Xenopus tropicalis: one gene and its partners. The main gene of each other region encodes a partner of the protein of the gene in region 2 in a complex. Links are inferred from orthologs where the notes say so. Each region holds a gene or a part of one and is shown on either strand. Other genes may lie near its edges. The genes, in order: med7, ccnc, med24, med25, med16, cdk8 and med4.

Region 1 (3,325 bases), on a different chromosome or scaffold from region 2:
TGTGTGTGCAGTATACATATATATATATATATATATATATATATATAATACCTTTCGGTCCACACTCCCATTAAACACACTTACTCCATACTTGATTGCAGGGTGCTGCACCTGGTTGTAGCTTGTATTCATTACAATTGATGATGCGCACTCCTGTATTTTTTTTAGTTCATTTATTGTTACATTATAAAGTTAAAAACATCAACGTTTCGGACCAGGTCTAGGACCTTTATCAAGATGTTAAGCCATAAAAAGTCACACACATAATGAGTCTTTATATAATACAAAATGCCTAACCCCGCCCACATTGAGCAGAGCCCCAACCCCAAATTGTGAATTAAAGAAAACACATCAGTACAATTAATTAATTGTAATAGTGTTTATTAATTGTACTGATATGTTTTCTTTAATTCACAATTTGTGTATTTTATTACATTAACATTTATTTATAAAGCGCCAACATATTCCGCAGCGCTGTACAATAAGTGGGTTACATACATTGGACATACAGAGTAACATATAAAGCAATCAATAACCAATACAAGAGGTGAAGAGAGCCCTGCCCAAAAGAGCTTACAATCTACAAGGAGAAAGGGTTGAGACACAAGGTGTGGGAATGGGCATGGCCAGAGTTGTGAGAGGTGTGGCACAGGGTATTGCTAAACTAGATTAGGGTAAGCCTCTCTAAATAAGTGTGTTTTTAGAGATCTCTTGAAGGCAGAGAGATTGGGAGAAAGTCTGACAGTTTGTGGGAGCGAATTCCAGAGAAGGGGGGCAGCCCTTGCAAAGTCTTGAATGCGAGCGTGTGAGGAGGGAATGAGAGAGGAGTTGAGGAGCAGGTCAGTATGTGCTATACAGGATACCTCGTTTCGTACGATAATCGGTGCGTGTATGGCATGTCGGCGAGTCGACCGATATCGCAGGAATCTGCTGATATCGGCCGACTCGCCGATCGGACCAGTTTGAAAATTTTGATCGGGCGCCATAGAAGGCGCCTGACCAAAATTCTCCCTTCAGAGCTGAATCGGCAGAAGGAGGTAAAAATCCTATTGTTTCTACCTTCTTACCTGCCGATTCAGCCTTGAAAGGTGTGTGGCGGATCTGACAATGTTTCGTGCGACCGATGGTCGTACGAAACATCGTCAGATCGCCACGTGTATGGCCAGCTTAAGGGTTGTGAAATGGGGTTGGGGCTATGCTCAATGTGGGCGGGGTTAGGCATTTTGTATTATATAAAGACTCATTATGTGTGTGACTTTTTATGGCTTAACATCTTGATAAAGGTCCTAGACCTGGACCGAAACGTTGATGTTTTTAACTTTATAATGTAACAATAAATGAACTAAAAAAATACAGGAGTGCGCATCATCAATTGGAATGCATATATATATATATATGTGCTGCACACACAGGGATTTATATTGTTATTTGTATGTAACTGAATGGGCTTTTTCTTTCTGTGTCACAGGTTCTCCTACTCACTTCATAATGGGGGAGCCTCAGCAGGTCAGCGCTTTGCCTATACCTCCCATGCAGTACATTAAGGAGTACACAGATGAAAACATCCGCAAGGGCCTGGCCCCCAAGCCTCCCCTCCCCATAAAGGACAGCTACATGATGTTTGGCAACCAGTTTCAGTGTGATGACCTTATTATCCGCCCTCTGGAAACTCAGGGCATCGAGAGGCTCCACCCCATGCAGTTCGACCATAAGAAGGAGCTGAGGAAGCTCCTTATGTCCATCCTGGTCAACTTTCTGGATATGTTGGACATCCTGATCCGAAGCCCAGGCAGCATCCGAAGGGAGGAGAAACTGGAGGACCTAAAGTTGTTATTTGTTCACATGCACCACCTTATTAATGAGTACAGGCCCCACCAGGCACGTGAGACCCTGCGGGTGATGATGGAGGTGCAGAAACGTCAGCGGCTGGAAACGGCAGAGAGGTTCCAGAAACATCTAGAGCGAGTGGTGGAGATGATCCAGAACTGTCTGGCATCGCTACCCAATGACCTCCCTCTTTCTGATGGCGCAGTCAGTGTAAAAACTGAACCAATGGATGTTCGGGAACCCTGTACGGACCATCATGCGGGGCCCCAGGAGGCAGCAGCAGCTTCTCTGAAAGAGACCACAATTGATAAGGATGCAGCTATGTGTGTTATCATCGATGAAATGACCTAGTCCAATAAGCAGTTCTAATCAGGACTCTTGAACTTTAGAAGTCACAAGGATTCATTGAAATGCAATAGCATGGCTCTATGTGTTGGTTGTATTCATCATGGGACTTGGCAAGGAAAATGTTTGTCCCAAGGGAACTCAGTCACAGCTATTGCTCATGTACATGTCTGTTTATTGTGCTTTTCTGCCATGCTTTTGAAAAGGCAGTATGCAAGAAGGCTAATATTTTTCAGTGTTTTCCCTGCCAGTTCATGTGTATGAGGAATGGAAGGTTGTAGTTCTGCAACACCTGGGTGGTAACTGCTTATTTGTGATTAAACAGACAAAGGACTGGGGTCAGACTTTTGAATGTTATCTAACTGATATACTATGTATGGAATCTACTCATTGCAAGTTATGTTTGTACAGTTATTCACATGTTCTGAGATATCAAAGTTTATTTAAAAGTTAATATTACAATTGTTTGTATCTTTTTCTCTCTGAATTGGAATATTTTAGTCTCAGATTGGTTTGGAGCATGAAAATCCCAAAATGGGTGCTGTTATCTGTTATAGGAGAAGTCCATATTTTGAAATGCTCGCCTTTACAGTTTATCATGTTTATTTACTTTAATATTTGTATTACTGCATTATAGTTTTAACCCTCTGTCACTTCTAGCATCTTTCCTATTAATTATCCACCTCCATTAAGGATGCTGTGTGCATTCACATTACATGCAAGCTTTCTATCTCCCCTGTGTCAGCCTTTGTGACAAAGCAAGGGTTAAATGACTGTGCTTAGGTTGGGATCAAATTCATGAATGGTAGCAATGAATATACATTTTATCATGATAGGAGGATGCTATGCTGCACTGTAAATAACAACACACTGTGAGCACTAAGGTGCAGGGACAAGAGCTGCTATACAGAAACAAAAACATGAGTACCAGGATCTGTGCATTTACAACATTCCATCCTCATTCTGATTGGTAGAATGGATATGTTTAAGTAAGCTCCACCCTGCAGTCTACAGATGCTGGCCAAAATATTTGGAAGGTAAACTTGTTGGCTGCCCCAGCCAGTTGTTATTTTCAGAAGGGTGGTGCTGTGGGCACCTAGGCCTTATTTCCTAAGGAGGTTGGTGAGATTACAGGAATCCCCATCAGTTGCAG
Region 2 (3,500 bases):
CCTGTCCCATGTCCTGCACGTACTGAAGCAAGGGTCTATAGGGATGATATACTATCAAGCAACAATCCTGTAAACAAGGGATAAAATATTAGCCCAATGTGCAATGTTAATGTTTACTTCATGTAATCATATGCAATTCACAAACACCTCCCTGAATCCATTGTGTGCTCCAGATGCACAAGTAAAGACTAGTAATGACTGTTCCATCTGTGCACTGAAAGACTTAACAGTCTTTACTGTATTAAAAAATATTTTTTATTTTTTTTTTTAAAGTGTAACGTAAATCAAGAAACAGACACTGCCTTTTCTTTTTTTAAAAATAACAACCCACACACTATATCATGCAAAAAAACAGAAGTATTAGGGGCTGATTTACTAAGACACAAATTCGAATTGGAAAAATTCCAATTGGAAAACGAACATTTTGCGACTTTTTCGTATTTTTTGCGATTTTTTCGGCGACTTTACGGAAATTATCACGACTTTTTCCTTACCAATACGATTTGCGCGAAAAAACGCGAGTTTTTCGTAGCCATTCCGAAAGTTGCGCAAAATCTTGCGATTTTTTCGTAGCGGTAAAACTTGCGCGAAAAGTTGCGCCTTTTCCGTAGCGTTAAAACTTAAAAGGCGCGATATTTCGCGCAAGTTTTAACACTACGAAAAAATTGCGACTTTTCGCGCAAGTTTTAACGCTACGAAAAATCGCAAGATTTTGCGCAACTTTCGGAATGTCTACGAAAAACTCGCGTTTTTTCGCACAAATCGTATTGGTAAAGAAAAAGTCGCGAAAATGTTCCGAAAAAAATCGCAAAATACCGATCATTACGAAAAAAACGCAATCGGACGCATTTGGCCAGTTCGTGGGTTAGTAAATGTGCCCCTTAGTGTTTTACTTGCCTAAACTATACTTTCAGAATAAAACCAAAACAGAGGAGCAAGAAAGCAGACCTATATTTTTATGGACAATTAAACCACTTTACTCACCATTAATTCTAATAGGTAGAATTCACATTCCAATATCTGCAAAAAACAAAATCATTCAGATATTAATCAATGAATACAAAATAATGCCCCTAACCAGGTAGATATCCACGAGCTGTGCATAAACAGATCCTGAGGTTAGGGTGACTTGCAGTCAGATGTGACCCTACTGAGATGCTGCTTGCTATATCTTTACAGTTCAAGTAGGCTGAAAGACAAAAGATTGTCTTAAAGGAACAGTAACATCAAAAAATTAAAGTGTTTTAAAGTAATTAAAATATAATGTGCTGTTGCTCTGCAAAGAAACTGGTGTTTTTGCTACAGAAAAGCTACAATATGAATAAGCTGCTGTGTAGCCATGGGGGCACCCATTCAAGCTGGAAAAAAGGAGAAAAGGCACAGGTTACATAGCAGATAACTAGTAGATAAGCCCCATATAATGGGGATTTATCTGTTATCTGCTAAGTAACCTGTGCCTTTTCTCCTTTGAATGGCTGCCCCCATGGCTACACAGCAGCTAACTTATACAAACTATAGTAGTCTTTCTGAGGCAAACACACCAGTTGTAGCAATGCAGGGCAACAGTACATTATATTGTTATTACTTTTATACACTTTCATTTTTTGGTGTTACTGTTCCTTTAAATTCTGTCATTGGAGGGAATTTGATTTCTGCTGTCCTCAGAAAGATCTGCATTCAAATCTGCTTTTGCATCTCATTAACTTTAATGGGAAAGGTGCTGCCAGAAACATGTCTTGGCAAGTGGCTACCATGTACAAATTGATTTTCATATTTCTGAGCAATCCCACCTCATATGGCACAAGAGTGTCACAAACACAGCTTGCCATTCAACTGAATACAAAGCAGCTGCTGCATACTGTTGATAAAACATAAACCAGAAGTTTTATATCTGCCCCTAGAATTGGGGTTTACACAATGCATAGTGACATTTAGATAAATAACAGGCAACAAGTAAAATTGCAAATTAGAAAAATGTATTTCATTACAAACCAGGCTAGTATAATATATTCATGAAGACATGATATGTAACTGGCAGTCCATAAAAAGTCAATCCCACGGTTAATTCTATCAATATTATAATGGATAAAGGCAGAATACACAAACGGTCATGGCTGACCCATTAAGGTTATACAAAAAGGTTCTGGGGCAAAGCAAAGCTAGAAAGGGCAGGAAATACCATCTATTAGGTGCATTTGAATGAGACAGTAGGTAGAAAAAGCAGCTTGTCCATTTGGCTCGCAGCCATTACTTTCCACAACTATTTAGTTAATCGAATAATTTATGTAAGGAATGGGGTATCAGGGATGGACAATGTGGCAACACATTACAAACTGCAAGAATCCTTTAATGTCCCCCAAAAGCTCATACTTGTGAAAAGCCTCTAGTAAAATAATCCTAGCAAAAAGCTAACTATTCCACCTCATTATGTATTCCTTATGCACAAACCATTATTGCAATCTAAATTTTATAATAGGATTTAAAAGTGTTAAAAGCTATGGAGTGCTCTACTGGCAAAGCTATTTCAAAACTGTAACACATTATGGAAAAGCATGCCTGTACATCTAAAACATTTCACAAGCAGCTACAAAAAGCATTCTGAAAAGGCTTGGAAATACAAAGTTATCATACATACATTTTCTTATTCAGACCAAATCATTTTGATGATTTCAGTAACAGATACAAAGATACATTACAGACAAAAATATAACTGGGCATGTATTAATGTTTGTGTAGAAATAACTCCAAAGTGTTCTCTCAAACCCAAATGAATAAGAAATGTTAGTACAGGTATGGGAAACCCATTATCCAGACAGCTCCAAATCACGGAAAGCCCGTCTCCCATAGACTCCATTTTAATCAAATAATTCAGATTTTTAAGATTGTATTTGATATAGTTAATCCTTATTGGATGCAAATTAATCCTATTGGGTTTAATGAATGTTTTATTGTTTTTTTTAGTAGACTTAAGGTATTGAGACCCAAATCACGGAAAGACCCCTTATCTGGAATACCCTTGGTCCCGAGCATTCTGGATAATGGGTCCTATACCTGTAGTATGTTTAAAAATGTACATTATTTGATTAATTTGGAGTGTTGTGTGTGTTATTGCTGCCCAAGTGGGTACAGCAGTTACTGAAAACAAAGGTTCACAATCTTACCACACAAATAATTAACTTTGAATTATTCTCCTCAATTAAAGAGCAAGCATTATTTTTCACTCATATGTTTAATTAGGTTCTCATGATCTAGTTTTAGTACTAGCACGAAAAGCAGATCACATTTTAGTTCATATGTATGCACGCATATATGGAAATTTCAAAACGATTCACACATTTGCAAGTCCAGTGTACATCATATCTTGTCTTATTTTTAATTTAGTGGCTCTTGGTGGTGAATAGAAGCTCTAAATCACCGTCATATTGGATTACTGGGGGCAAGTATAGAGGAAGGTCCCTGCCAACTCACTGCTGGCATTATTGGAAGGCTCAAAGCAACTG
Region 3 (3,500 bases), on a different chromosome or scaffold from region 2:
AAACATGCCTCCTTCCAGTTCAATAGCATATACACAGATTTTCCATCTGTGTAATCCAAAAATCATTTACCTCGATATCTTCTCTATGCCGTTTCCTCTGCCGGGGAGATGGCTGGCCCTTGTTTTGGGTGGAATAGGAGGTCATTGCACACCACACCGATAACCTGTTGAGGGAATGGACAAAGCTGCATACAGTTTCCAATGTACAAAAGTGACCTACAGGTTCACAATGTCAGGCACCACATGGGCACTGAACGGTCATTGCTCTGTGGGAGGGGACAATGTCTATCCAAGAGATCACTTCTGTATTACTGCACCATTTTTCCCAGTGTAGCTCACTCACTTTGCCAGTGCTCTGCCCGGAGGGTCCATCAGCATGTGCCATTTGGCAGAATCTGTAAGCAGGGATGGCAGTACATGCCCTAGAAGGGTGAGCGTCAGCTGCTGCATGTCCAAACAGAAGATGGCATAGAGCAGCTCAACCGCCCTTAAAGCAAACTCCAACCGTGTTTCCCTCAACAGCTCCTAGGAAGAGAAACCATGTATTTATATTTGGCAAATTAGTGGAATCCTCATCTGCTCACAACAGCATCCTCCCCTTACTCACCTTTACAAGATTGTTGCAGAACCAGTAGACACCCCCCATATGAAGCAATGTATCAAATACATGTAGGGTGCGGCTATCAACCCATCCCTTTTCTAAGGTGGAGCTAAATGCCCCCCTCAGAACTTCCTTTATGGGCTTCTTAGGGGGCAAGCGATGTATGTAAGGCACCGGCTCACTTCCTGGAGCCGAGAATTTAATCTGAGTGGCAGTCTGCTGCAGAACCTCAGCGCACATATTGTCCAGGATAGAGCTCATGATAATGACTCTAAGAGGAGAGAAGAAAAACAATAGTACAGAATGTAAATACTTGTAATTACACATGGAAGAAAATATTTTACACCTTTCTAAAAAGACTGCACATAAGCTCGGGGTACTTACCGCTCGTTGTAGAACTGCAAAGTATTGTCCCCAAACATGGGTGATCCTAACTGGCGGATCATCTGCAGAGACTTGTCTCGCTCGTCTAGTCCCAGCATTCTGACATGAGCCACCAACCAGGCAACTGCACATACAGCCAGGCTGCACACCTTCCCTTTGATGTTGTCTGTGATTTTCTGTAGCACACAAAGTAACTCCATTACACTTGAAGTGGGGCGTACCACTTAAAAAGTACCCCATAAAAATCATAATAGAATCCCTTTACGTCTAAATTATACTGTTTACATAGCAAATAATTCACTCTGCCATTCAACATTTTATTCCTGAACCAACAAATGTATTTTTAGCTGTAACACTGATGCGTAGACGCCATCTCTGCGCATTCTGCCTGGGCTTTCAGAAGGAGCCAACGCTACACATTAAAACTGCCTTCAGGTAACCTATTGTTTCTTCTACTCCCATGTAACTGGAGGAGTCCCAAGTTGAACTTGGATTTCTTACTATTGAGTGCTATTCTTATAACTACTGGGAGCTGCTATCTTGCTCCCTTCCCTTTGTGCTGCTGATCAGCTTCGGAGAGGGGGGTGATATCAGGCCAACTTTCAAAGTGTGATTGAAGTTTATCAAAGCACAGGTCACATGGCTGTGGCACCCTGGGAAATGAAGAATATTGCTAGCTGTGTGTGCATGTGTTAGAACAGAGTGGGGGAAAGGCTGAAGAGGGCTGGATTAGATATCGGTAAGAAGATTTATTCCGATATCTGTGAATTAGGAAAAAAAGAGTAAGGAAGATTCAAATGCCATGGCATTCACGTAAACAGGGTCCCTGAAGTGTGCATATTAGAAGCAGGGATCTTCAATGTCTGTATATTAGGAGAAGGGGTAGGTAGAAGTCCTTTATGTCTGTTTATTAGCAGTAGCATAGAGGTAAGGGTCCTTGATGCCTGAAAGTTAGGAGTAGGAGGGTGGAAAAAGTCCCTGTTATCTGCATATTAATGGCAGAAGAAAGGAAGGGCTCTATGGCATATGTACATTAGGAGTATGAGTGAGGGAGGGGTCCATAAAATCAGTGAAGTAGTAGGAAGAAAGAATAAGAAGTCCCTTCTGTCTATACTTTTGGTAGAGAGAGGCAGGGATCCCTGATATCTCTATATAATGTACACCAGTTCATACCTGAATGGCTTCAAAGGACAAGACGCCATTCTCCCAGGCATTATGAATTTCCAATATGGCCGCAGGGATACTCAGGCACACTTCATGCCACTTTGTCTGCCTGCGTAACAGAATAAGGATGTAAGTTAGAACCAATACATGTACAATGTATGGGAATGTAGTCTGTGTAACTATATATAACATACGCCAGCTTCATTTCCGTGGATGTGTTGAGCAGAGCCACCAGGGCTTCCACCTTTGCAATATCTGGATGTCTAAAGCATGGGTGGTCTGGATTTAGCACCCTCCCTTCCCCTGGCATACACGTTTGCATCCAGCTTTCAAAGAAAGGCATCTCACCACTTGGACATCCCTCAGATAGGATCATCTGCAGAAAAAAGTAAATGAATAAGACTTAGTTGATCTTTCCCATATCCCAGTATGTGCTTCCATGGTCCACAATACATTTCAGATCTGACTGCATTCAAATGCCTGGCACAAGGGTTAATGTAAATAATCTTGCTACCCATTGATGATGGTGGTGGTGACTAGAGCTCTTCTTACTACAACTGGGGCAAAATTAGCAAAAACTGAGGAGCCACATACTCAGAAACTGCCTTACCTCTGAGCCATAGGTCTGTGCCACATGACAAAGCATCAGGAAGGAGATATCAAAAAGCAGGGCTCGGACATTGGCCGCCTTTGCTGAGGAGACAGAATCAGTTCAGTGGCCAAATTCACTTACAGTTAGTGAAGTAGCCAATGTGTAGGAAATGGAGTTGGAAGGTTAATGGAAGGGAAGATTAATGGATACGGGTGTTATTGATTGCAACCAGGGAAAAAGAAAGACACTTACAGCTCTCTACTCCAATATGTCTCGTGAATTCATTGAGTCTGGAAGACAAAAAGCAAGAAATGATTAGATGGCACAGCTAGTATGTATTATTGGGCACTGACCAGTATCCAGCAGGTAGAAAGCCCAAGAGGCAAGTGCACCATTAAAGTGTGTCTCCCTTCTTAACTGCTGTATGGATTTTCTTTTTTGGTGTATGTTACAGACACTGTGAGAACAAAAATTGATTCTGCTGTTCTGTGTTAGTCCATAGAGCAGGGGTTCTTGGGTTCCCCTGCAAATCCTGGCAAGCCTAACACAGCCAAACTCCAGGGTCGGACTGGGCTGGCGGGGCACTGGGAAAAAAACAGATGGGCCCTGCCGGCCCAGACCCGACCCCTGCCGGAGCACCCGGGCTGCAGATCATCCTCCACCAACACGTTAAAAATAAGTTTAATTTACAGGGAGCTAGCTCATGGAGCTAGTAGTGCTTATCTGCTCTCAAATTCAAAGCAACTGTATATTAGATCT
Region 4 (2,798 bases), on a different chromosome or scaffold from region 2:
TGGTGTTACTTCTTATATATGGGGATAACATGGTTGTAGAAGAGAGAATGATACAATCTGCTCATTTCTCCAGATGCAAGGCCAGCAGGTAGCCCCGGGCATGCCCTCCATTAGCCAAGTCACTATGATGGATGAGCAACAGAGAACACAGAATTTGGTGAGTTTTTCTTTTTCTTGAGATAATCTGTTATTTTACTTTCTATGGATGCAGCAGATAAAAATGCCTGGATTCAGCCAAATACCAAATAGCTCACAGAATATTTTATTTTCTTAAATATTCATCCATTTTAAAAATTGTTTAAAGGGAAACTATACCCTCCTTTTTGACCTGAGCTCATTCGTGTTGGCCTTATGTAGGAAAATGCTTAAATAATGTCTGAACTTTCAGAAATAAATATAATCTGTGCACTACCCACCAAAGCGGGGGGGGACTTCAAGTACCAGAATCCATCACTTCACAATGGAACAAGATAAGGGAGGGGTTGAATTTCGCTGTGAGCACAAGGGGTGGGGACTATAATGGTCTCCTTATTTTATATTTCTGGAAGTTCAGATAGTGTTTTTTTTTTTTTATACTACACATTTTATCCATAAACCCAACTTCGATGAACTCATGTCAAGGGGGGAGTAACCTTTTTTTTTTTCCTTTCTGAAAATATAATAAAGTTTCTGAGTAGAAAATCCTTTTAACATCTGGAGGAGAACCAGATACGTTTTCTCTGATAAACAGATGGTCAGTCTGCAGCCCTAAAGGACTACATGTTCCATGATGGTGCCTGAGCCATCACATGTCTATGCGCTGCTGAGAGTTGTAGTATAACACAACGTTACTGTTGCCGTGCATGGGTGGAAGAACACTTTAGAGCAGTAGCGTCAGACTCCGCTCCGGCTATGAGCTGATGTTCAAATCTTGTTGAGGGGGGTGGGGGGAATGGGACTAAATGAGTGATCATTTATATTAGTGATGATTGCTTGACAATAACACAAGGATGACTATGCTGCTTTCTTCCAGTTACACATCAGAGTACAGCAACCACAGCAAGCAGCCTCTCAGGCACCACCACAAGCCACACAAACCACCGTTCAAGCACCTGGCCAGCCTCAGAACCCACAGCCAGGAGCGATGCTCCGACCACAAAACCCTGGTGCCAACCCACAGCTACGCAACCTCCTCCTGAGCCAGCAGCCTGTAAGTATCCAGGAAACCAGATGGGAATATTTTCCCCCTATAGCTCTTCCAGATAGTAAAGCATTTACCATAACTGGCAATTGGACAGAATGGTGTGGAAATGTAAATTGTAAGCTTAGCTGGGGAAGTGACTGATTTAAGTTGCTCCTTTTAAATTCCACTGCTATATAGAGAAGACTAATCATAGAATGTCCAGCATTGTTGATGTTGGGCTATGGGGGTGAGTGAAACTACTACATTCCCAAGAACAGGCACTGTTGAGCCACAGTGTGACAGGCTGAAAATTCAAATGGCTGATCTGCTTAGGATATTAAGGATACCGTACTGAATCTTTATGTGTAGCTCCTGGAACCTCATCCTAAGGCTAAAACCATGCCCCCTACTCCTGAGTGACAGGCCCCTCCTAATGTTGATATTATATGGTAGGAAGAAATAAAAATAAATATATATTATATTATATGAGCCAGTTTTATTCTTCTACCTAGATACAACACTTAGGGGCACATTTACAAAAGCACGAATGCTCCGAGCGTGTTTTCGGGATTTTTTCGGGCGTCCGCACGACTTTTTTGTACGGCGCACGAAAAAATAGGGAAAGGTTTTACCGCTGTTTGCAATTGTTCGGTACGAAAATTTCGTGACTTTCGGATCGCCAATACGATGTTATCGTGACTAATACGATTTTTTCGTAAGCATTTTCGTGATATTTGCGATCTTCTGAAATTTTCGTTTCCAATGTGATTTTTTCCCATTCAAGATTCGGATTCGTGGATTAGTAAATGTGCCCCTTAGTAATCCCATATCTGCCTTCCAAAATGTACTGGCTATCTCTTAAAGGGGAACTCCACCCAAACACAACTTAAGCTTTTTGAAAAGTAAATATAATTCATCAATTAAAAATGTAGAAAGAGAAGAACTGTTTTGCAGCTGGATTTCAGCAAATAAAATGGTATTTATTCATACTGTTTGAAGGACCAGATTAAAGTGACCGGTATTTTAGGGATTTCTGTGTTGTGTGGGGCTCTTTAACACATTTTTGGTCCGGAAGAGACAACTTGAGACAACACCACCACTGAATTTATAAAAATAGGCGGGAATCACTATTTATTATTATTATTATTATAATAATAATATTAATAATAAATAGTGATTCCCACCTGTGTTGTGTCCTTGTTAATGAAGTTCCCGTTAATGAGGCACAATTTATCCACTGTGTAGTTTGTTACAGTTCAGTAAGTACGTAGTGCATAAAGATATGTACTCCGTCAGTTTTCTATGCTATGAAATTATGAGGTTAGTTGCAGTTCAGTCAATTCATATTGCATATAGATATGCCAGGTTTCCAAAATATATATAAAAATGCATCATCCAGGGAGAGGGAGAGAATCCCCCATGAGTAAATGCCACATGTTCCACAGCTGTTTCCTCACAATAGTGGCAATGGGGGTTATGTTACAAAAGGTGCTACGTTTGCCCATGAGCAGTAACCTATAGCAACCAATCAGCGGGCAGAATTTACTGGTTACCTGTTAAAGGCAAACATCATATTGGTTGCTATGGGTTACTGTGCCTGGCCAAACTTAGTGCTTTTTCTTTCTTGTCTGTAAAA
Region 5 (3,500 bases), on a different chromosome or scaffold from region 2:
TATCCAGCCAATGCAGTCAACTAAAAATCAAAAAATTTTACCTGATTTGGTAGGCTGGCCAGCAGATAAAGTACAAAATCACCAAGCCACTGTATAAGCTGCTGAAGTGACTGAAGGGTTGGCATGTCCAGCACAAACTCTTCTGTCTTCAAGTTAATCATAACCTTGTCTATATCTGTGTAGAGAGAGAGAATGTACAAAAGTATACATTATATACTTGGTGGGTCAGATCGGGCTGATGTTTGAGCCCTAAACCAATAACCAGATTATAACGGAGCCTATGGAAATCAGTTGGAAAATGACCAATATATGATCAATATTTAAATGTGGTCATTGTATGAATGAAATTTTTAAACCTCTGGTCGGTTGTCACTACCATACATGGGCTAATTAGCAATCAACATTGCCTGAAGAGCGGAGACAGCAGCTTTTCTCTGCCTGTGTATGATTATTTCATCAAAGGATTTCTATTCCTGCCACTCACCAGTATCGGTGAACTTGTTGCAGATCTCAGTAAGCCGATCTCCAGGACTCTTGTCAGGAGTATTGAGAACATGAGGACGAAGTAGAGATTTTAAGGTACAACTGATAGAGATGAGGAAGAGCTTTGCATGATAATCACAGACACGAGTTACAGTGGTTTGAGACAGCTTACATAGAGACGCCTTCATGGCCAGAATCCGAGTGGAAAGAACCTAACACGACAAGATCAGAGATGTTACATATTGGTACTCTAGTAAATGGCAATGTCTAATTTAAGCCCCATCTTAATAAAGAAAGAGAACCATCTACTGCAGATTATTGTGTTTCGACTACTCCCACTATAAAAGCAGCAGCTACCTCCTCCTCACTTCCTGATATTCTAATAATTTGAGCTGTAGGCCTATATACTAACAGAACATTACAGAGGCAGTCATATTGTGTATGGTTCCTTGTATAATTATTCCAATACTGTGTGTAGTCATGGCATGTATGTCCACTTTAAAAAGCAAGAGAGTAGATGAAACTAATATTAAAGCTAGGTAGTTTCAGCAGAGGGGTTTTTGATCAATTAAATAGTATTTATGTAAGTGCATGTTACTAATATAACATCTCTACACATAATATCTCCATATCTGTGGTCTATAAACACTATGATCTATAAGGCCACTGCACCTCTGCATGGCATTTACCTGTTGAAGTGCCGCATTCTGCCTAGTGTATTCCTCGTTTAACTTTTCCACTAAATTATGTACCATGCCAGGCTGAACATGGAGCAGTATATCCCACCAGTCATATCCAGTCACCATGCAGTATTCCAACAAGAAAAGCAGGTGACGTAGGGATGTTGACATATCCAAGGAATGCCCCATAGAAGGAGAGACTCGTAGCATACTTAGCTGTGGGGAAAGATCAAAGGTCACACAAATACAACAGCACCATAAAGAAATTCACTGTGATTATATGGGCCAGGATTTTTTGTAATATCAGTTTAATCATATTCTTTGATGCCAGTGTCTTTGTTTTAGTGTAGCAAAAGGCTGTGATGTAACTAGAAGTTACTGGGCACCATAAAATAATAAACATAAATTAGACTCCACTCAACATTGCAAATTTATAAAAACTATTTCAGTGTCCTAGAAAGCTATCAATATCAACTGGGTCCTCCAGCAGTCACTGGTGTTATGTTTTAAATACATCTATGGCTGAGGTGCAAACTGATCTTATCATTTTGTATTATTCATAAAGGCACCGTTTTTGAATTTTAAATATATTTACGATTATGCTTATGCTACAGATAACTGTAGATCAATTTAACCTCTAACACCAAACTCTACTACCTGACCCATCCTTACTGTTTTTATACCATCAAAATTGTTATTTGGGGCTTTTTTTTAAAACAGAACACTGTCATTCCGACCTGCCTAATATTAGCAGTAAAATCTTTAACGCTGACCTTGCCCTGTGTATCTAGCCCAACCAAAGCAAGCGAGGTCCACGACATCTGCAAAGCTTTAAAATGAATGCAAGGGGTAGGCGAACGCTGCCGTTTTAAGCTGGGTTCCTCAGAAGGCCGCAGAGATGATCCATACAAAACTGCCATTGGCTGCAGGGAAAGTCTATGAACAATCTGAACATTTCCATCATGGAATGCCAATGCTAGACCTGTAAAAACAGTGATTGATTAAGTGTCTTAAATAAAAGAAGTGTATCCAATTTCTTTGCAGATCAAAATAAACTAGTGGGTAATAACTTACCAAGCCCAGGGTAAAACTTGGTTTCACTTGCAACCTTGATGTCAGTATTTGTGAGAGAAATTGGTAGCTTGGGCAGAGCCACAGCAGAAACACGCTCTAACTCATTGGTGGCTGAGAGGATACGCCACTTCAGGATCATGGGCTGCTTGTCACTTACTGCAAGAGTGAAAGGTGTTTTAGGCTTGAGAGGAATGTGGAGAAATTATGCAATGATACATTTTGGAGTAAGTGAAGCATCTAACTGAGGATAAAATGTTTAGGAGTAACAGGAAGATATTAAAATACTTACCTGCAGGGGATAGCTGCTGGAATATATTATTAAGTGGAAGACCCTCTTTCCGAAGAGACCAGCACTCAGCTATGCTGGAACACTGATTGGAAGCACAGAGTAAAACCTAAATCAGATGGACAAAACACTGTAAGTTCTGTGTGTCCAAAACATTTATTTATCCTTATCCTTTAGTCCTTAATGCTGATGCCTTTAAACGACAAGCAAAGGTTTAATCACCAGGGATGCCAATTTGACACCCCTCAGTGATTATAATTGCTTGCCTCAGACACTGGGCTGGTGCTCCTTTTCACTGAAAAATGCACCAGTCTAGGGAAGTAGTCTAGTAGCACTGCTCTGCTATCTTCTTTGCTGTCTTTACTTCAGCCCTGGGCTGTGCACATGCGCTACTGCTCTACAGTTCATGTTCACAGCCCATACCAGCTCTTGTGTATTCTCCTTTAAGCTGTTCCCTTCAAATTCAAATACATGAAGATTTTTTTTATTATAGTTACCCTATATTCCTATAGTAAGAACTTAAACCACAATGAATCAGCACGGGTGGGCCCCTTAGGTCATTACTAAGTTAATGATAAACAGAAACATTGGCGAAGCAGTCACCCTGCTATAGTTTCAGGGCAACAACTAAGCATGTACTCCCAAATCTCACCCTCAAATTAGCCTCCCTACTATGTACTGAAGCCCTCTGGTTTAAGGGAACTAAAGGTCCCCATACACGGTAAGATCCGCTCGCTTGGCGAAATCACCAAGCGAGTGGATCTTCCCCCGATATCCCCACCTACGGGTGGGCAATTTCAGGGAGCTTGAAGTTAAAAAAAAAAAATAATCCGAACGTTTACCCACCCCGTAACAACTTTTCTTCTCACCTGTTCAGACATATCCCGCGCAAGGAATTTAAGGTGCGTCACAGCTGGGAACTTGTCCTTGCGTGCAGGGTCAGTTGTACAGCGCATAAAGAGAGAAGGAAGTATCTC
Region 6 (3,500 bases), on a different chromosome or scaffold from region 2:
CCCCAGATACGCCAGTAAATTGACTGCAGAAATGTAAAATGAGCATATTAAGCCCAAACATGCCAGTAAGATCAAAGCAGAAATGGACAGTGGTCCTTTTGTTAACCCCAGACGTGCCAGAAAGACCACGCCAGACAATGGATGAGCATGTTAACACCAGATATCCTTCCAGTTTATCTGAGAGTGTAACTTGAATAATGAGCCAGACCATGAGTATCCAAATGCAGACTTAAATATCCGTACATGTACAGGACCTGTTATCCAGGATGGCCGGGACCTGAGGTTTTCCAGATAAAGGGGTATTTCTGTAATTTGGATCTCCATATCTTAAGTCTACTAAAAATTATTTAAACATTAAATAAACCCAAAAGGATTGTTTTGTCACCAGTAAGGATTGATTATATCTTAGTTGGGATCAAGTTAGTGCTGGGCGGTATACCGGTAAAAACCGATCACCGTTTTTTTTTTTGAAACCAATATGAATTTTCTACATACCCCCATACCGGTGTGCTGAATACTTCCGGGTGCGCACGTGATGTCAGCGCGCACGTGATGTCAGCGCGCACGTGATGTCAGCGCGCACGTGATGTCAGCGCGCACGTGACGTCAGCGCGCACACTCTACAAAAGCGCCATCGCTAGAACGCATTCAGAGTCGGATACCAATGTGAGCTGTTGGGGGGTGCCTGGCCAGTAATTATATTTTATGTGAAGGGGATGGGTGGGGTGGGTGGGTTATACTTATGTGAAGGGGATGGGGTTGTGTTTGGGGGGGTGGGATGGGGTGGGGTGGGGGGTTATATTTATGTGAAGGGGATGCGGGGGTGTTTGGGGTGGGGGTGGGTGGGTGGGTTATACTTATGTGAAGGGGATGGGGTTGTGTTTGGGGGGGTGGGATGGGGTGGGGGGTTATATTTATGTGAAGGGGATGGGGGGGTGTTTGGGGTGGGGGTGGGGGGGTTATACTTATGTGAAGGGGATGGGGTTGTGTTTGGGGGGGGTGGGGGGTTATATTTATGTGAAGGGGATGGGGGGGTGTTTGGGGTGGGGTGGGGGGTGTGTGTGCGGATGGGGGGGTGTTTGGGGTGGGGGGGTGCGTGCGGATGGGGGGGTGTTTGGGGTGGGGGGGTGCGTGCGGATGGGGGGGTGGGGGGGCTGCGTGCGGATGGGGGGGTGTTTGGGGTGGTCACCTAATCATGCATGGGGGAAAAAAAATACCGTCAAATACCGTGATACCGATATAATTTTGAAAAATACTGTGATATAAATTTTTGGTCATACCGCCCAGCACTAGATCAAGTACAGGTACTGTTTTATTATTACAGAGAAAAGGGAATAATTTAACCATGAAATAAACCCAATATGATTGTTCTGCCCCCAATAAGGGGTAATTATATCTTAGTTGGGATCATGTACAGGTACTGTTTTATTATTACAGAGAAAAGGGAATCATTTAACCATGAAATAAACCCAATATGATTGTTCTGCCCCCAATAAGGGGTAATTATATCTTAGTTGGGATCATGTACAAGGTACTGTTTTATTATTACAGAAGAAAGGAAATCATTCTTAAAAATGTGAATTTTAATTAAAATGGAGTCTATGGGAGATGGCCTTCCTGTAATTTGGAGCTTTTTGGATTAAGGGTTTCCAGATAACAGATCCTGTACCTTTTATATAACATTGCTTGTCCAGCCATTAGGAGCACAGGGTTGAGAATACATTGATTTTTTTCCCCCTCTAAAGCCTCACAGAATGACTGGATTCAGAGCAATTAATGGCCTGCACCGCTAGCCCTGTGACTAATATGAGCCAATTAAAAAAAACCACACCTCACAACTTCCCTCGGGTTGTACCTGGGGGGGCGGGTATACATGGTTTAGTTACGTACCTAATCAATAGATTACTTTTACACATGGTAAGGGAAACAATTTCTTCACAAGGGATCAATTCCAGACAATAATATTCCCTGTAGCGGACAGTTGAGGTGTCTGTAATGAACCCATTTAATCACTCTGGGAACAATAACTGCACAGGTAATTAATCTCTGAGAAATCCTTCCTCCACATCTGCAGTAGATGTTCTACACACATCTAATTACTTTAAAGTACCCTGTAGGGGTAGGTAATGAATGGCACCATCAGCGGTGTAGCTATAGAGAAAGCAGGCTCCGTTTTGGTTTTTGATGGTGCAGTCAATGACTGGGTCCCCTACAGAATTACTCCCTGTATCTGGCTAAAGGAGTCTTTGCATGGAGGTGCCACCCCAGTGAGCTTGGATTATCTGGAGGTTTCCTATGAACACACACATAACATGCAATAGCACAGGAGTTAGGGAATATTGCTGCGCAATACTAGGGCCAATTGTACCCCAAACCTTGGGAGGGATGGCCTCTTTTTAGCACACACTAAAATGGTTGTTACAAGGAGTTATACTAACCCTTTAATGCATACATAGGGAGCCAGCCCTTTATGTTAACCTTTTGCATTGTATAATTGTCTGTGCTACCCAATATCTATATACAAATAGCACAATAGTTCTAAATATAGTTGTACTTGAATATAGTGTTTGTTCTTTTTCTGTTTGCAAGTACCGACTCTTTTGTTCTCCGCAAGTTTGTTATGCGGCTGTTTCAGTCTGCTAAAAATGTTTAATGAATGTTTATTGGAAAGTTGCTCTTATTTACACTATGCACAAATAAAAACAATTTTTGGGTGGACTTTTTTTTATAATATATGAGATATATATATATATATATATATATATATATATATATATATATATATATATATATATATATATATATATATATATATATATATATATATATATATATATAGCGAACCCAGGGTGGCACTCTGCTTCAGCTCTTAGCTCGGGTGCAAGGTAAATGATTTAAATATCCAAAAAAGACCAGCAACACCGAGTTATGTTCCAAAAACAATCAATTGTGTATTAAAAACACATGAACAGAACATGGCTGTTCATGCGTTTTTAATACACAATTGATTGTTTTTGGAACATAACTCTGTGTTGCTGGTCTTTTTTGGATATATATATATATATATATATATATATATATGGGCTGGGGCCACCAGTGACATTACAAAATATAATATTTTAGGCCAATTCTTGATATTTTCAAAACTATTTTTTCCAGTTTTCCTTTGGATGTTCCTTTAAACCTTGTTTATCTTTTTTAATCCTTAAAGAAAAACCAACAGCAGCAGCAAGGCAATAACCATACTAATGGAACCGGTCACCCAGGAAACCAAGATAACAGTCACGCACAAGGGCCACCTTTAAAGAAAGTGAGAGTTGTACCCCCTACCACTACCTCAGGTGGGCTCATAATGACCTCAGACTATCAGGTAACATGCCTTTGTGTCTCACTTCTCTCTATCCCTCATACCCCTTTACATAGGATTGCACAAACAGAACCACTGTGGGACTGTATAGCCACTTTACTGCAGCACCTATTTGCATGGGGGCCGCTGTGCT
Region 7 (4,070 bases), on a different chromosome or scaffold from region 2:
TTATGCACATTTTTTACATAACCCAACTAAATGACTTCATGTCCAAAATAGGGGAAGAAACCAGGGGTAAACCTGCCAGTTTCCAGTCATAAAAAGACCCCAAATATAAGAGGATCTAACAGCCAGACAAAATATTTGACTTCCAAAATTGTGGTTTCCTGTGTCAAATGATAGCTTAAAGAAGAATGAAAGTTAAAAATCACTGGGGGTGCCAAATGTTAAGCAGCACCCAGTGATGATAATCACTTGCCTGATACCATGGGCTGGTGCTCCTGTGTGTGAAAAACTGTTCTGGCCTGAGGTCTGATATCTGTAGGAGCACCACATCATCATCTTCCATTTCTTCGTCCTTCTTGTTGGCCCCTGGCCAGTGCACATGCACAGTACAGTGACAAGCTGTTTTGTTGTTTCACTGAGCTTTTCACTCTGCCATGTATGCGCACCCAAACCAGGGCTCAAGAGAAGTATGAAGCAAAATAAGGTGGCAACAAATAAGCTCCTACAGAAGAACCCCAGGCCTCAGGTAAGCAATTACTACTGCAACAGCTAAGCTGCTCATGCATGCTCTCATCCTATCCCGACTTGACTACTGTAACCTGCTACTAACCACCTCCCTAACTCCCATCTTTCCCCCTATAGTCTATATCAGTGATCCCCAACCAGTGGCTCAGGGGCAACATGTTGCTCACCAACCTCTTGGATGTTGCTCTCAGTGCCCCCAAAGCAGGTAGTTATTTTTTTTAATTGTGTTGCTCTCCAAGTCTTTTTACATTTGACTGTGGCTCACGAGTAAGAAAGGTTGGGTCTGGTCTATATTAAAGGAAAACGAAAGGCAAAATCACTTGGGGGTGCCAAAATGTAAGGCACCCCCAAGTGACTTTAACTGCTTACCTCGTACCCCGGGCTGGTGCCCCTGTTAGAAGAAAACAGCACCAGCCCGGGGTACCTGGAGCGGATCGCTTCCTTCTTCCTGCTTCCGTTGCTGAAATGCCAGCGGTGGGCGCATGCGCAGTAGAGTGAAAAGCCGACTTTAATGTTTAAGTTCAGCTTTTCACTCTACTGCGCATGCGCGCGCAGCGAATCAGGAAGAAGGAAGCGCCGGCAGCTACCCCGGGCTGGTGCTGTTCCCTCCTCACAGGGGCACCAGCCCGGGGTAAAAGGTAGGTGGTCAAAGTCACTTGGGAGTGCCTAACATTTTGGTGACTTTGACTTTCTTTTTCCTTTAAATACTGCTGCCAGAATTCTCCTCCTCTCATCCAGGAGAGTTCAGGCCCTTCCCCTGCTAAAGTCCTTATCGTGGCTTCCTATTAAACAAAGAATATCTTACAAACTCCTTCTCTTAACCCTCAATTCCTCTGCTCCTTACTACATCTCTTCTCTTGTGTCTCCCTACGTTCCTGGCCGACTCCTTCATTGCTCGCAGAGCAACCGCTTTGTTGCACCCCCCACTACTACTGCAGTTTCCTGCCTTAAACCTTTCTGCCTTGCTGCTCCTTACATTTGGAATGCCCTCCCTGATTTCCTCGGGAGAGAATCCTCCCCCAGTCTTTTCAAAGATAAATTTAAAGACTACCTCTTGGAGCACTCACCCAGCACCTGATCTGGGAACTAGCACTTATATTGTCACCCACTGTAACCTACAGCACTTATAGTTAAAAATACCCTCCTATATAGATAGTAAGCTCTACGGGGCAGGGACCTCCATACTTTTGTGTCTTTGGCTCTTAACTTATTGCAACTGTATCTTGTATTTATTTGTATATATTGTTATCCTTTGAATTTCTGTTATTATCTTAATAACCCCGTTTGTATTAATGTAAATAAAGATATACATACATACATTATAATAACATCAGGGTGCCTACAATTTTGGCACCCCCGGTGAATATACTTTTACTTCTCCTTTAAAAGAGTTCAATAGCCAAGTATAAAATGTAGTTGCCCTGAAGAGCCACACTCCCCCTTCCTGTACCACATCAATGAACTCTTCTAATACAGCCCTGTCTGCTTTTCCAAAAACACAGAGTAGCGCAGTGGAGCTAGTGTACACCAAACTGCTGTGTAGCTTACCATACAATGACAGAATTGCAACATGAGTCAATGTATTTTTTATAAAGTGTCATTTTTCCTTGTGGTGCATTACAGTGTATCCCATGTTTCCCACAATGACTGATATAACGCTGAAGCAATAGCAACAGGTCTTACTTTGCCATTTGACTAAAGGAAAGGGGGGTTTGAAGAAGGCAATTCCTCAGCACCTTGAGGAGCAAGGGGCTCTAATAAAACAGTCGGAAACCAGGGGTGGTGCCACCCTAAAAGAAACCTGAAGGAAGATCAGACAAGTATTCATGCGCCAAACCACATCCATATGTATCACTGTGCGCCACTGCTATTCCCCATGGGATGGCCTGTCCCCACCCACCGTTATACATCAACCGGGGCCCTTTACAGATATTATTCTGGCCCACTGTGCAGTAAGAACAGCAGGAAGGACAAACCCCAACTTACAGGGCTTTTAGGTGGCCAGATAATAGGGCAACGCTCTGTAAGCGCACAGCGCTATTATAACAAAGAATCCCGCACAGTGGAATTCCGAACTTCATTGCTCGTAAGGTGCCAAGCATTTGGCTCTGCAGCTGCTGGAAAGCCACGCAAGAAACAATATTGGCTCCAAAGTATTAGGTGCAGTCCCGAGAAATAAAATGCCCGTGTCGCATAACGCCCTCACCTAGACAGCACTTCCAAGTCGTCCAGGAAAGACATCAGCCTTTCCTTCGTGCTCTTCTCCGGAACAGCCATGTCTGCGGATGGAAGAGAGGCGGGGCTAACGAGCAGTTCCGGGAAGGAATCAAGAGAAACAAGTATCTGTCGAAAAGCGCAGACGTTTTTCACAGCGCCATCTAGAGTAATTTAATGGAACTTAGCGATCCTACTCACATAACTAGCAAATGCCAGTTGGGCAGTGATGTAGATGTCGGCTGCGGCAAATTCACTGAACTGGGGCCTATGGGTGGAGGCTGGAGAACCCCCCCCCCTCACCTGGTGATGAGCTTTCAGTCATATTCACATTGGTGCCATTCACAAACCTACTCATGGTCCTCAGCCAAACAAACGGCCATGATCACAGCATTTGGCCAAAGCATGTCTAGACATGGTGGCAGGACATATTGGGACACTCACATTTCTTGTTTTCCAGCATTTCATGGATGGCACAGTGCGGTCCCCTTAACAAACAAAAGTACTATTTAATGCACTGGTAAACAAAACGTGAGCATTTCTTCCATGAGATTCAGGAGAATACAAATTCACACATTTGTCTCTTAGGGGAACTGAGACTGGCAGCTTAAAGGGCAATTTCACCCTTTTCACCAAAATGTCTCTGAACACCTCAGAATTCATTTGTCTGCTTCTGTCCTGTTTCACATCATCAATAAACACTAGTGTCCCAGTGCCACCGACAGACGTGCACGCCCAAGCCATCACACTGCCTCCACCTTGTTTTACATATGATGAGGTATGCTTTGGATAATGAGCTGTTCCACGCCTTCTCCATACTTTTTTATTGCCATCATTCTGGTATAATTTGATCTTGGTTTCATCTGTCCAAAGAATGTTTTTTCAGAACTGTGCTTTTTTAGATGTTCTTTAGCAAAATCCAATCTAGCCTTTCTATTCTTGAGGCTTAGGAGAGGCATGCACCTGCAGTGCACCCTCTGTATTCACTTTCATGCAGTCTTCTCTTTATGGCAGACTTGGATATCGATACACCTACCCCCTGGAGAGTGTTGTTCACCTGGTTGGATGTTGTGAAGGGGTTTCTCTTCACCCTGGAAATGATTCTACGGTCATCCACCACTGTTGTTTTCTGTGGACGTCCAGGTCTTTTTGTCCAGGTCTTTTTTTCACCAATGGTTGCGTTCTTTCTCAGGATGTACCAAACTGTAGATTTTGCCACTCCTAATATTGTAACAATTTCTCGGATGGGTTTTTTCTGTTTTCGCAGCTTAAGGATGGATTCTTTCACTGGCACGGAGAGCTCCTTTGACCACATGTTGTCTGTTCACAGCAAA

The links.
Region 1: ccnc (region 2) and med7 share a complex: the UniProt entries of both Homo sapiens proteins name them as parts of the mediator complex. The link is inferred for Xenopus tropicalis from reciprocal best matches to the Homo sapiens genes CCNC and MED7.
Region 3: ccnc (region 2) and med24 share a complex: the UniProt entries of both Homo sapiens proteins name them as parts of the mediator complex. The link is inferred for Xenopus tropicalis from reciprocal best matches to the Homo sapiens genes CCNC and MED24.
Region 4: ccnc (region 2) and med25 share a complex: the UniProt entries of both Homo sapiens proteins name them as parts of the mediator complex. The link is inferred for Xenopus tropicalis from reciprocal best matches to the Homo sapiens genes CCNC and MED25.
Region 5: ccnc (region 2) and med16 share a complex: the UniProt entries of both Homo sapiens proteins name them as parts of the mediator complex. The link is inferred for Xenopus tropicalis from reciprocal best matches to the Homo sapiens genes CCNC and MED16.
Region 6: the proteins of ccnc (region 2) and cdk8 are in contact, whole or in part, in a crystal structure (PDB 5CEI), measured with the Homo sapiens proteins. The link is inferred for Xenopus tropicalis from reciprocal best matches to the Homo sapiens genes CCNC and CDK8. Residues at the interface, in NP_005181.2 of Homo sapiens: Met1, Ala2, Gly3, Asn4, Ser8, Ser9, His10, Gln13, Phe72, Tyr76, Lys79, Ser80, Ile81, Asp82, Leu85, Leu93, Lys96, Val97, Glu98, Glu99, Phe100, Gly101, Val102, Tyr130, His134, Leu136, Glu137, Glu139, Phe140, Tyr141; in NP_001251.1 of Homo sapiens: Met1, Asp2, Tyr3, Asp4, Phe5, Lys6, Leu9, Arg13, Gly58, Ile59, Ser60, Met61, Cys64, Arg65, Ile67, Ala68, Leu69, Arg71, Glu72, Leu73, Val84, Leu86, Ser87, His88, Arg91, Lys92, Val93, Asn145, Trp146, Val147.
Region 7: ccnc (region 2) and med4 share a complex: the UniProt entries of both Homo sapiens proteins name them as parts of the mediator complex. The link is inferred for Xenopus tropicalis from reciprocal best matches to the Homo sapiens genes CCNC and MED4.

Annotation. Positions count from the first base shown.
Region 1 is NC_030679.2:14,184,034-14,187,358, forward strand, and holds med7 (mediator of RNA polymerase II transcription subunit 7), read left to right. Parts: upstream 1-1,457; 5' UTR 1,458-1,488; coding exon 1,489-2,178; 3' UTR 2,179-2,825; downstream 2,826-3,325. UniProt on the Homo sapiens protein: Component of the Mediator complex, a coactivator involved in the regulated transcription of nearly all RNA polymerase II-dependent genes.
Region 2 is NC_030681.2:82,038,208-82,041,707, reverse strand, and holds part of ccnc (cyclin-C), read right to left. Parts: intron 1,021-3,500; coding exon 985-1,020; intron 68-984; coding exon 1-67. UniProt on the Homo sapiens protein: Component of the Mediator complex, a coactivator involved in regulated gene transcription of nearly all RNA polymerase II-dependent genes.
Region 3 is NC_030678.2:112,526,224-112,529,723, forward strand, and holds part of med24 (mediator of RNA polymerase II transcription subunit 24), read right to left. Parts: intron 3,032-3,500; coding exon 2,994-3,031; intron 2,843-2,993; coding exon 2,760-2,842; intron 2,526-2,759; coding exon 2,344-2,525; intron 2,259-2,343; coding exon 2,159-2,258; intron 1,162-2,158; coding exon 986-1,161; intron 873-985; coding exon 608-872; intron 526-607; coding exon 344-525; intron 165-343; coding exon 71-164; intron 1-70. UniProt on the Homo sapiens protein: Component of the Mediator complex, a coactivator involved in the regulated transcription of nearly all RNA polymerase II-dependent genes.
Region 4 is NC_030683.2:117,444,694-117,447,491, reverse strand, and holds part of med25 (mediator of RNA polymerase II transcription subunit 25), read left to right. Parts: intron 1-73; coding exon 74-157; intron 158-1,012; coding exon 1,013-1,189; intron 1,190-2,798. UniProt on the Homo sapiens protein: Component of the Mediator complex, a coactivator involved in the regulated transcription of nearly all RNA polymerase II-dependent genes.
Region 5 is NC_030677.2:100,796,234-100,799,733, reverse strand, and holds part of med16 (mediator of RNA polymerase II transcription subunit 16), read right to left. Parts: coding exon 3,393-3,500; intron 2,633-3,392; coding exon 2,527-2,632; intron 2,394-2,526; coding exon 2,238-2,393; intron 2,146-2,237; coding exon 1,937-2,145; intron 1,380-1,936; coding exon 1,173-1,379; intron 696-1,172; coding exon 485-695; intron 176-484; coding exon 42-175; intron 1-41. UniProt on the Homo sapiens protein: Component of the Mediator complex, a coactivator involved in the regulated transcription of nearly all RNA polymerase II-dependent genes.
Region 6 is NC_030678.2:155,762,677-155,766,176, reverse strand, and holds part of cdk8 (cyclin-dependent kinase 8), read left to right. Parts: intron 1-3,211; coding exon 3,212-3,370; intron 3,371-3,500.
Region 7 is NC_030678.2:134,878,375-134,882,444, forward strand, and holds the start of med4 (mediator of RNA polymerase II transcription subunit 4), read right to left. Parts: upstream 2,801-4,070; 5' UTR 2,800-2,800; coding exon 2,729-2,799; intron 2,659-2,728; exon of another isoform or gene 2,625-2,658; coding exon of another isoform or gene 2,509-2,624; intron 1-2,508. UniProt on the Homo sapiens protein: Component of the Mediator complex, a coactivator involved in the regulated transcription of nearly all RNA polymerase II-dependent genes.